Drosophila melanogaster: one gene and its partners. The protein of the gene in region 2 interacts with the protein of the main gene of each other region in a pairwise test. Each region holds a gene or a part of one and is shown on either strand. Other genes may lie near its edges.

The links.
Region 1: the proteins of APP-BP1 (region 2) and Alas interact in a two-hybrid assay, tested with the Drosophila melanogaster proteins (one large-scale study listed by BioGRID).
Region 3: the proteins of APP-BP1 (region 2) and Mlc2 interact in a two-hybrid assay, tested with the Drosophila melanogaster proteins (one large-scale study listed by BioGRID).

The regions. Positions count from the first base shown.
Region 1 is NT_033778.4:23,962,804-23,966,558, forward strand, and holds the start of Alas (aminolevulinate synthase), read left to right. Parts: upstream 1-1,968; 5' UTR 1,969-2,081; coding exon 2,082-3,324; intron 3,325-3,468; coding exon 3,469-3,755. Other genes in the region: Fmo-1 (Flavin-containing monooxygenase 1), read left to right, coding at 257-444, 504-690, 743-914, 972-1,507, 1,572-1,739.
Region 2 is NT_037436.4:11,096,700-11,100,454, forward strand, and holds the start of APP-BP1 (beta-Amyloid precursor protein binding protein 1), read left to right. Parts: upstream 1-1,712; 5' UTR 1,713-1,985; coding exon 1,986-2,053; intron 2,054-2,110; coding exon 2,111-2,275; intron 2,276-2,331; coding exon 2,332-2,977; intron 2,978-3,043; coding exon 3,044-3,377; intron 3,378-3,439; coding exon 3,440-3,688; intron 3,689-3,747; coding exon 3,748-3,755. Other genes in the region: CG33947 (uncharacterized protein), read left to right, coding at 314-362, 1,393-1,442; Irbp18 (inverted repeat binding protein 18 kDa), read right to left, coding at 943-1,173, 1,301-1,411. UniProt on the Drosophila melanogaster protein: Regulatory subunit of the dimeric Uba3-APP-BP1 E1 enzyme.
Region 3 is NT_033777.3:30,172,915-30,176,669, forward strand, and holds the start of Mlc2 (myosin light chain 2), read right to left. Parts: upstream 1,638-3,755; 5' UTR 1,573-1,637; coding exon 1,570-1,572; intron 901-1,569; coding exon 658-900; intron 499-657; coding exon 76-498; 3' UTR 1-75. Other genes in the region: CG1983 (uncharacterized protein), read right to left, coding at 3,603-3,671, 3,729-3,755.

The DNA of each region.
Region 1 (3,755 bases), on a different chromosome or scaffold from region 2:
TCATACGGATTGCGAATGCAAGATACTCTCATTAGACTTGCATAATTTTACTACTTAAAGGCCTCAGCGAACCTCTCAATGAAGTCCAAGTACCCAACTTTTGCAGGGCTATCAGGCGGGGAAGCCAAAGAGCTCATCACGGTGCGATCCTCAGTTTCGTGGAGGCAATCGGCGTGTAGAAAGCAATCCCGGCCTATCTCACTTAGGATCGCAGCTAGCAATTAAAATTAATATAAGCTGTAACCAATACTGTAATATGATGAGCGTTTGCATAATTGGGGCCGGAACCGCGGGTCTTTGCTGTGCCCGCCATTCGATTGCAAATGGGTTCGAGACCACTGTGTTCGAGCTATCTGACCGAATCGGCGGCACCTGGGTTTACAATGAGGCAACAGGGGCGGTCAATGGCATCGATGTCCACAGCAGCATGTACAAGAACCTACGGTACGTAAATCTTTCGAAAAACCATTTGATATTCTAAGAGTTTCCGGGCCTCTTCAAAGAACCAACCTGCCCAAGGAGGTAATGGGCTTCCCGGACTTCGAAATCGGGGCAAACGAGGCTTCCTATGTGAGATCCGACGAGATCTGCGACTTCCTTAACCAATACGCGAACCATTTCGACCTGAAGAAGCACATCAAGTTCGATAGCTATGTGATTCGAGTTTTGCAGAGGAAAACAAAGTGGCAAGTAAGTCGTGGAGTCAGCTTTATATATAACCACTTAACTGAAACGTTTGCAGGTACTTTTCAAAGACTTGGTCACCAACAAGATAGAGTTCCAGTACTTCGACAAGGTCTTGGTGGCCAATGGCCACTACCACACTCCGAATTATAGCCAAATTCCGAATATGGAAAGGTTTAAAGGGCAGTTCCTGCACAGCCACGACTTCAGAAGTAGGGAGGTTTTCGAAGGTAATTAAGGAATAACTTCTATTAGGTTATTTCACATGGTGTTCCATTCTGCTCAAGGTAAATCCGTTCTGGTCATTGGAGCTGGTCCCAGTGGCATGGACCTGTCGAACATCATTTCCCGAACGGCGGATCGGGTCACCATAAGTCACCACTTGACCGATATCGGGCAACACTCATTCTTCGAGAACGTACAGCAGAAACCCGATGTGCGGGAGCTCGATGAGAAGGGAGCCTTTTTCGTGGACGGATCGTACCAGGAGTTCGACACCGTCTTCTTTTGCACAGGTTACAAGTACGCCTTTCCCTTCCTGACCGTCGACTCGGGCATCTATGTGGAGGACAACTACGTCCAGGAGCTGTACAAGCAGTGCATCAACATCAGGAACCCATCCATGGCTCTGATCGGACTGCCGTTTTACGTTTGTGCCGCCCAAATGATGGACATCCAAGCGAGGTTCATCATGAGCTACTACAACGGATCCAACGAGTTGCCGTCCACGGAGGATATGCTCAAGGACACCCGCGATAGGATGGGCAAACTGTGGGCGGAGGGACTAAGAAAACGCCATGCCCACATGCTGGGTCCCAAGCAAGTGCGATGCAAGTTGGCTTTACTTCTCTATCTGGTTATTAATTCTATTCTCATTTATTATCAAGATCGACTATTTCACGGACTTGTCGCAAACTGCAGGAGTTAAGAACATCAAGCCTGTGATGACCAAATTGCACAACGAAAGCAGCAAGTGCTTCAATGAGAATTTGCTCCACTTCCGGGAGGACAATTTCGCGATTCTGGACGACGAGACATTCATTAAACTCAACTAGATCCTGAATCAATCAATAGGAGCATTAGATTCCAAAACATCGTTTTTGGACTTCCCTTCGAAATAAAATAAATTTCCAATTCTTGTATTCCAAAACAACAGTTTAAAAAATGAGCTTTTATTCTCGAACAAAAACTTTTTGAACACCGGCAAACATTTGTTTGAACATGTTTGTTGGTATTTTTCCAAACAGCTGATTGCGGGCAGCGCACATTCACCAGCTCTGGCCACACTCGCCCGCCTCCTCGCAATCACCTTCTTGCATAATTTTCGGAACACCTCACTTCGCTTTCAAAGTTCGCTGATTTAGGTCGGGTCTTCAAAAGTGGAATAGCGCCTCGTCATGCAGTGTCCGTTCTTGAACCGCTTCACCGCCAGCTTCATCCGCAACTACGCGGAGACGCTGTGCCAATCCTACGGGAGCCACTGTCCCGTGGTTGGGAAGACCTTGGTATCCGGCGAGAAGAAACTTTCACTCGTCGCCGCAAGTGTTACAAGGTCTCACTCGACGGGGGCGAACGCCCACGCCAATGCTGGTGGCCCCGCAACTGCCAACGCCACCGCTCCCGTCTCCGCCCCCGCCTCTGCCGATCCTGGCAAGGCATCCGCCAAGGAGACCTTTCCCTACGAGCGCTTCTTCAACGAGCAGATCATGAAGAAGAAGCGGGACCATTCCTACAGGGTCTTCAAGAAGGTGAACCGCCTGGCAGGCGACGGGCTTTTCCCCCACGCCCTGGAGTACTCGGAGCGGACGGAAAAGCCCATTACGGTGTGGTGCTCCAATGACTACCTGGGAATGTCCGCCCACCCCGGCGTCAAGAGGGCCGTCCAGGACGCGCTCAATAGGCACGGATCGGGGGCTGGCGGCACCAGGAACATTTCGGGTAACTCTCTTCACCACGAGCGCCTCGAGAGTAAGCTGGCTGAGCTCCACCAGAAGGAGGCTGCGCTGCTGTTCACGTCGTGCTTCGTGGCCAACGATTCCACTCTCTTTACGCTCGCCAAGCTCTTACCTGGGTGCGAGATCTTCTCGGACGCAGGGAACCACGCTTCCATGATTATGGGCATACGGAACAGCGGGGTTCCCAAGCACATCTTCCGGCACAACGACGTGGACCACTTGCATCAGCTGCTGAAGCAGACGGACAAAAGCGTGCCCAAGATCGTCGCATTCGAGACGGTACATTCCATGACGGGGGCCATCTGCCCGCTCGAGGAGCTGCTTGACGTGGCCCACGAGCACGGGGCCATCACGTTCATCGACGAGGTGCACGCCGTGGGATTGTACGGTGACCACGGGGCCGGGGTCGGTGAGCGGGATGGTGTGCTGCACAAAATGGACATCATATCGGGCACCCTGGGCAAGGCGTTCGGTAATATTGGTGGCTACATAGCTGGCACCCATAACCTGGTCGACATGATTCGGTCGTATGCGGCCGGTTTCATCTTCACCACCTCACTACCGCCGACTGTACTGTGTGGCGCCCTGGAGGCCGTCAATATCCTGGCATCGGAGGAGGGTCGCCAGCTGCGCCACTTGCACCAACGGAACGTCTCCTACCTGAAGAGCCTGCTGAAGCGAGAAGGTAAGACGTAATTCTGGCATTTATGTAACTCGAATTGAAGGTTATTCTCGCACTTTCGTTTTATTTTAAGTGATGGCTATAAATATAGAAAGAGACACTTAACTTTCAGTTTACTGACTGCATATATAATTGGCCCCATTTCAGGTTTCCCCGTCGAAGAAACGCCCAGCCACATCATTCCCATTAAGATCGGAGACCCTCTGAAGAGCAGTCAAATCTCAAACGTGCTGATCGAACAATTCGGACACTACCTGCAGTCGATTAACTACCCAACCGTCGCCCGGGGCCAGGAGAAATTGCGGCTGGCCCCCACCCCGTTCCACACTTTTGAAATGATGAACGCCCTGGTTACCGATCTAAAGAAAGTGTGGGAAATGGTGGACCTCTCTACAAACGTCCCTCTTTCGCCCAACGCATGCATGTTCTGCAAC
Region 2 (3,755 bases):
GCGGGTGGTGCTAATTAGCGGAAGACGGCAATTTATTGAACGCGAAAAAAGCCCCACAATCCAACTTCCATTTCGACACGAAACCAACCACCCGCCAAATCAAATCGCCGTCGAGTTGTGCATCAAATGAATGTGCGAAAAGTGCAGTAAATCAATGTTTTTGTGAGTGTTTGAAAGAAGAAGACGGAAGGAGCGCCCACAACAAAAGCAAAGAGAGCAAGACCTAACGGGACACCCGAAACCAAAAACCTATCGGCACAACGACACTTTCTCAATAGCTATAGTTTTAGTTCATATGTTCATATCTCGGAAAATGGACGAGGTCTTTAGCCTACACATGGAGAAATTGGACGTTTACGACGGTTAGTATCTAATTTGCCGGAAGTTCTACTTAAACGTAGAACATATGTATATGATGGAATCTGGGTTGTATTTCTGATTAATGAGTTCATCAACTTTCAAGGAAATAATAATAGTAGTAGTAGTTGTAAACAGCTGAAGTATTGGGTATAAAATAACACTGATATGGGTAAAATCATAATAGACACTTTATTTGATTCAAGACTCGCATGATTTTAGCTGTATGAATCATGTCGAAAATAATAGAAATCACTATTACTAAATATAGATAATTTTAAAATTTAGATTCAGTGCAACATGGATACAGTGATTAAGTGTTACAATATAAACAAAAGTAAAAGAAAAGTACAACAAAAACAAGTATTTGGTGAGAAATGATAAAAACTCACCAATAATGAAAACCATTTATGTAGGATTTTAACAAACACTGTTCTCGTCTGCATGAGTGCTTGTCTTTGTAATAGAATTCGAGCAATTGCACCATTTTAATCGAAAAACTAAGATGATACACATGGTTAACAACCATGGGAAATGGCTTAAAAGTATGAAAATATAAGAAGGTAAATCAGGAGAAGCTCCTCGTTAGTCATTGTCCTTGGGATCGGGATCTGGTTCAGCGAGAATCTCCTGGATGATTCGATGGCCGTCCTCCGTTTTCTCACCCTGAATGATCAGATCTCTAAGCGTAGATATATGTTTTTCACTCGTCTCGATCTGAACCTTAAGAGCATCGTTTTGCTTCCTCAAATCATCGATGCGTTTCTTACGTTCCTCGGCCGATTTCTTGGTCTTTTCGCGTGTGCGCTGAACAGCCTGTTCCGAGAATAGTAATAAATCAATAGTGGGCATCTATTTTTGGGGACTTCTGGGGGCCACGGCGCCACAGCAACATGTTTCCCAATCTTTGCTCTCTGTTTACATCCAAAACTCTTAAACTTACCTCATTGTTTTTCTTTCTTTTTTCTTTGTACGCTGGATCGTCTGTGTGCGGACTTAATGGCGAATCGCTATTTTTGCTGGTCGACGCGGCAGTTCTCTTTTTGGCCGGCATTATCTCCGTGATAATACTGATATTTATTTAGTTCAAATTGGATCGCAATCGGACGGAAATGCAGAAGAAAACACAGCGATGTATGCGTTGTTTTGTTGTGAAATTACACGATAAAACAGCTGTTCATTAGCCCTCCCAGTGTTGCAAAATGCGCTGCCTACACTGCCCAGCCAACAAACAGTTAGCGGTATTATTTAATTAAATTAATTGCATGTTGAAAATCAATATTAAAACTCACCCAAAACCATAGCCATGGAATGCTATTCAAAAACTGTCAACCAGACACTTTATTTGGTTTGCTCAGACTTTCACTTTTTAATTTCTCAACTGTTTATACATTTTATTTGTAAAGACTGATTGCTTGTACGTAGATGTAGTTTAATGCAATAAAATTAAATGAAATGTAATACGTAATAGTCAATAAATGTTTTAAATAAGCAACAGTTAAAATTACCAACGTGTTTTTTCCAACACTCCACCCAATAAACAAATTGTGTCAGAAGTATTGGCTGCCGGCGCTTTACAGTACTGGATTATTTGCAACCGGCTTATTATTGCACAAAAATCTAGTGAAATGTCCTCGCCAGCCCCCAAATCGCCAGAGCTTTCGGATAAAAGCAAGAAATACGACAGACAAATCAGGTGAGGAGCGTTTTAATTGATAAATTCGGAAGCATAGCACTGATGACACCTATTTAGGCTGTGGGGAGAGCATGGACAGACGCTATTGGAGGCAGCCACAGTATGTTTGGTGAATGTTACGGCCGTCGGCTGTGAAACTGCCAAGGGACTGGTGCTACCCGGTATCGGAGGCTTCACTGTGGCCGATGGCAGCACCGTCAAGGAGGAGGATCTGGGCAACAAGTCGGTAGACCATCACACATTCCCTGACCACCATTATAAAGTCACTTTTTCCGTAGTTTCTTCCTCGATTCCAGCTATCTGGGCAAATCTAAAGCATTGGCTTGCATGCAACTTCTCCAGGAACTCAATCCCGACGTAAATGGCGATTATGTCGACGAGAGTGCCGACTTTTTATTAGCCAACAGACCGAACTTCTTCGACAGCTTCGATTTAGTGATTGCCTCCAATCTCAATGAGCAGACTTTGCTTCTCCTGGCCGAACGGTTATGGGAGCTTAACGTTCCATTAATCTACTGCCGATCGCTTGGCATGCTGGGCACAATACGCTTGCAAATACGGGAACACTGCATCGTGGAGGCGCATCCGGATAATCGACAGTTTGATCTGCGTCTGGAGCATCCATTCGATGCTTTGCGGGAGCATCTCGACGGCACCGAGGTGACCAGTAAGGTGCCCTGGTTGCTGGTTCTTCACAAATACCTTAATGTGTGGCAAAAACAACAAGCGGATGGGACTCAAACGCCTCGAAATTACAAAGAGAAGAATCAGTTGAAGGAGACCATTAGAGAGGAGATGAAGGCGGATGAGGAAAACTATGAAGAGGCCATCAAGGCGGTCAATACAGCCTTTGGAGCGGGACAGGTTCCCAAAAGCCTGAAAGCCATATTCGAAGATGATGCCTGCGAACAGTTAAACAAGAAGGTTGCCCATATAATCTGAATTTATACGTATACTTTACTTTCATTTGTTTTTCTTTTTTTTTTACAGAGCAACGTCTTTTGGATCATGGCCAAGGCCCTAAAGCACTTTGTGATACATGAGAATGAGGGCCATCTCCCTCTGCCTGGCGTTCTGCCGGACATGACTGCCAATACGGACTCCTATATCGCCCTGCAGCACATCTACCGCCAACAGGCGCTGCAAGACGCCGACCAGGTGTATCACAAGTGCCAGGAGTACCTTAAGCAGTTGGCTTTGCCTGCCGACAGCATTGATGAGAGAAGTGTGCGTCTCATTTGCAAAGAAGCAGCCGGACTGGCGGTCATAAGGGGTACACGCATTGCAGAGGAGTACGAGAAGAGCAGTCGCCTGCTACCACTGGGTAAAGATCTATCTATCTATTTTGGAACAACCTTAAATGACTTACCTTTCCTTGCCTTCCAGTTGAGGACAACGAGCTGCAGGGCAACCTCACGGCATACAACTTTGCGCTGCGCGCCTACGAGCGCTTCCTCAGCGAGTGTGGCAACATTCCCGGCGAGTGCATCGTTGAGCAGGACATTGGACGTCTGAAGAGCATTGCCGCCAAGATGCTTAGCGATTTGGGAATGCACGCCACCATCAGCGATGATGTTCTGCACGAGATTTGTCGATATGGCGGAGCTGAGTTGCATGCAGTGTCTGCTTTTATTGGTAAATATTCCATTTGGTTTATGCGTTGACCGATACTATATTCTGCTAATTCCTTTCAGGTGGCTGC
Region 3 (3,755 bases), on a different chromosome or scaffold from region 2:
CTGATTGATTTAACGTTCTGATTCTGGCTGTAAAATGGATGTTGAGTTAGAAGTTAGGATGTGATCGGATGTGCCTTAGGCGGCCTCCTCCTCCTCCTCTTCACCCTTGCCGGTGAGCATCTCGATCAGGGCGGCGGTATCGATCTGGTTCTTGTCGTCGATCACCATCTGATCGTAGGCATCATCAACCTCCTTCATGGTGAACTTGTCACCGAAGTTCATGAGCATTTCGCGGAATTTGTCACCGTCGATGAGACCATCGTTATCGAATGTTTTGAAGGCAGCAATAACAACTTCGTCTTCATCGTTGGCACCGGAGGTGGCCATGCGGTTGGCGAACAGGGTCAGCAACTGGGTGAAGTTGATCGGACCCGAGGCCTCGCCCAGCATGGCGTCCAACTCCTTGTCGTTGGCGATCTTGCCGACGGAGTCGAAGGCAGCGCGCAGATCGTTCTTGCCAATAATACCGTCCTTGTCGGCATCCATGAGTTGGAAGGCCTATCGATCCCGCACAGAGACAGAGAGAGATAGAAAGAAAGAGTGTGTTGGTGACTTGGTCCTTGACAAGTGCGATAGATGGTAGGATGACAGGATGATGGGATGGGTCTCGAGTGATCCGACATATGATGCGATATATGAGTAACGCCCAAAACTCACCTCCTTGAACTCGGCGATCTGCTTCTGGGAGAACACAGAGAAGACCGAGGAGCCAGCGCGCTTCGACTTCCTGGAGCCACGGGATCCGCCCGACGCTCTCTTCGAACCAGTGGCAGATGCGGCCGGGGCAGGAGTGGCAGCTGGTGCCGGGGTTGCTGCCTCGGATGCGGCCTCAGAAGCGGTTTCGGAAGTACCACCCTCTTCCTTGGTCTTCTTCTTCTTAACCTTCTTCTTCTCATCGGCCTGAGGAGAGAAAAGAGGGATTTATTAGTAGGGACTCGTGGCAGAAAGGGGGTATCTACTCGGTCATTAGTCGTTATAGTCCGTCTTTAGCTGTCACTTGAAAGTTCCGATTCCGGAAGTTATACTATTCGTTTTAGGGATCTTAGTAAGTTATCCGCGTTGAAGGATCTTCAATTGGAATTATATGGGTAGAAAGTTATCCCTTAATAGGGATTTAAGGGATGTAAGGTATGCTTTTCAAAAGGCCTACCCGACTAGGCCAGAAAATATGTATCTGCAGGCGAAAGTTTTCCACTCATTCTAAAAATATACCGGACGCATATTACGTAAGCTCTCCGCCGTGCGCCACTCGCTGTCTCGCTCGCTCCCCGGCACGGATATCAGATTACATTACTGACGCGTAACACTCGGATCGGATCGATCCATTTATAGAACTTTCTGCACTATTCTCACTGCGTATGTGAAGAAGGTGAATCGGGATCACCATGATTTAGAGTTATGGTTCACTTCATATTCATATCCTCGGGGTCATTCTCGAATGCAAACGATTCACTGCACTGATCGGCATTATCCTTGCTGCATATATCCAGGCACTGGGGTCCAGTTCGATTCGGTTCGGTTCAGTTCGGTTCAGTTGGATTGTAGTGATATTCCGGGACGAGTCCTTACCATGGTGCTGAACTTTGATGTGTTGTCTAATCGAGTCGAGCCGTCAGAGCACACTGAATCTCTGGCTGATTTTATCGCCAAGACAATGATGTTTTAAGAGCTCGGAGGAGCTCTTCTTCTTCCAAGCATTGGGGCCGCTCGTGGAGGTTCGGCCACCTTCGGGGATCTTCGGGCGCCATTCGCTGTATCCGTATCTGCAATATTCGTGCTGCCTTTTTTAGTATCTGCAAGGCGAGGTCCGCCCAGGAGATCGGCGGGGGCGGGCAGCTACAACTATATAGATATAGCCATGGCTATAGCCTATAGCCTATGGTGTAGCTGTATCCGAGGTGTTTACTCATCCATCGGGCGCTGCTCTAATCAAAAATCTAATTTTAAAGGCAGAGAAATTGCTTTGGCTTTGGCTTTTGGGCAGCAGAAGCCTATACATATGTTCGGAATTTATTTCGGGGCGATTCGGATTGGTTCATATAGCGGCTCTCTGTTGTGGATACATTTCCCCATCCTCGGATTCTGTTTTGTTTTCTTTTATTTTGCTCTGCTTCACTACTCGGTGCGTCTCTCTGCCAGAGGCCACCTCCGAAAGGTGTCCTCTTGCGCTGAAATCACCTACATTTTCCTTGGCGGCGGACAGCATACATATATGCCAACATATAGCATATGTATGTATTCTATTCACGCCTATATACTCGATGTTTTGCTCGCCTACGTTCCTTTTTCTGTTTTCGAAATGCCCCGCACATTGTGCAATATGAAGAGCGCCGAGAATTCCAAATCTATAGATCTGTATATACATACACGGCGATCGGGCGGATTTCGTGTCGCATAAATATCCAACGAACCCGATATTGGACCAGAGTTATTTCGGCAACAAATGTGGAATAAACATCTGACTTTATCTATATGCTAGTCATCCATGGACATTGCATAACAATGGGAAGGCTGTAGGATTTCCATTTCAGATAAACTTTGGGTACCACGTCATGATACATTAACCTTGTTACTAAAAATATTAAACACTGCAGTATTCAAGCTATTTAAGCCATTTCAGTAAATAAATAGTAAAATTGTGACAACTTCAATCGACAAATTGGATTCTCAAAGCCTTATTTACACATTTTTAGTTTTCCAAATAAGCAGGAAATTTCAATTTAGTTTCAAGTGTTACAAAATATTATTATTCATATAGTTTACATCTATTTTTTTTAGAAATATTCATTCTGCAAATTATTCGACTTTTTGCTTTCTGAAGGAAATAAGCCAAAACATTTTTCAAAACAATATTTACATGAGGTCATCTTTGCCACCTGAATTCATTACCCTCGCTGGCTAATATTATAATTAATGAAGGCTCTATGCAAATTTATGAAACGGAAAATATCTCAATTAACGATGGGATCCGTGCGAGAAAGCCTTCATAATTCATCGATCAGACATAATGAAAATCGATTTAGGCTGCAGTCATCTTCGTGCTCCATTGAAAGTGATTTTCGGCGAAAACTCTCATGGCGCAGCCATTTTGGCACGTAACCAGGCGACATTTTGGCCTGGGGCCAACCAAAACAAGAAGATATAGAGGAAAACTGCCCACAATCTAATACGCAAAGTAGCATTGAATATACGCGAATGTAAAAATAGAACAAAGTGCAAAAAACGAGCAAGACGCAGTCGAAGGAATGTTAAAACTAATGAAAACTGCGGCAAATGTATTCAATTTTCCAAGGTGCAGAATGTTTCTGGGAATATTAATGGTTTTGACACTTTGGAAGCATTGTTTATAAAGGGTTAACAATTAAATAAGGCAAATAACAGCCTACACATAACATTTGTTTATCTCAAGGGTTTCTAAATTTAAACGCCAAATCATCTTTGATTTGCTGATTTACTACGTTAGTCTGTGTGAATATACCCAGTTCCACCTGATACATGAGCGAACTTGGAGGTGCTCAGTCGTGAGGTCGGACGTCATTGGGAATCGGCTGTATTCAGTGCCCGCAACGCATTCCTATCACATCTCTGCTCCGCTCCCCTTCTTACACCTTGGCCGCCCGATGGCCGAAAATAGAAGAGCCAACGCGCACCACTGTGCTGCCCATTTCGATCTGAGGGAATAGTTTCGATTTTAGAGACGGAACTTGCTCAGTCGGTTTGTAGCTTACCGCCTTGTCGAAGTCGTTGGACATTCC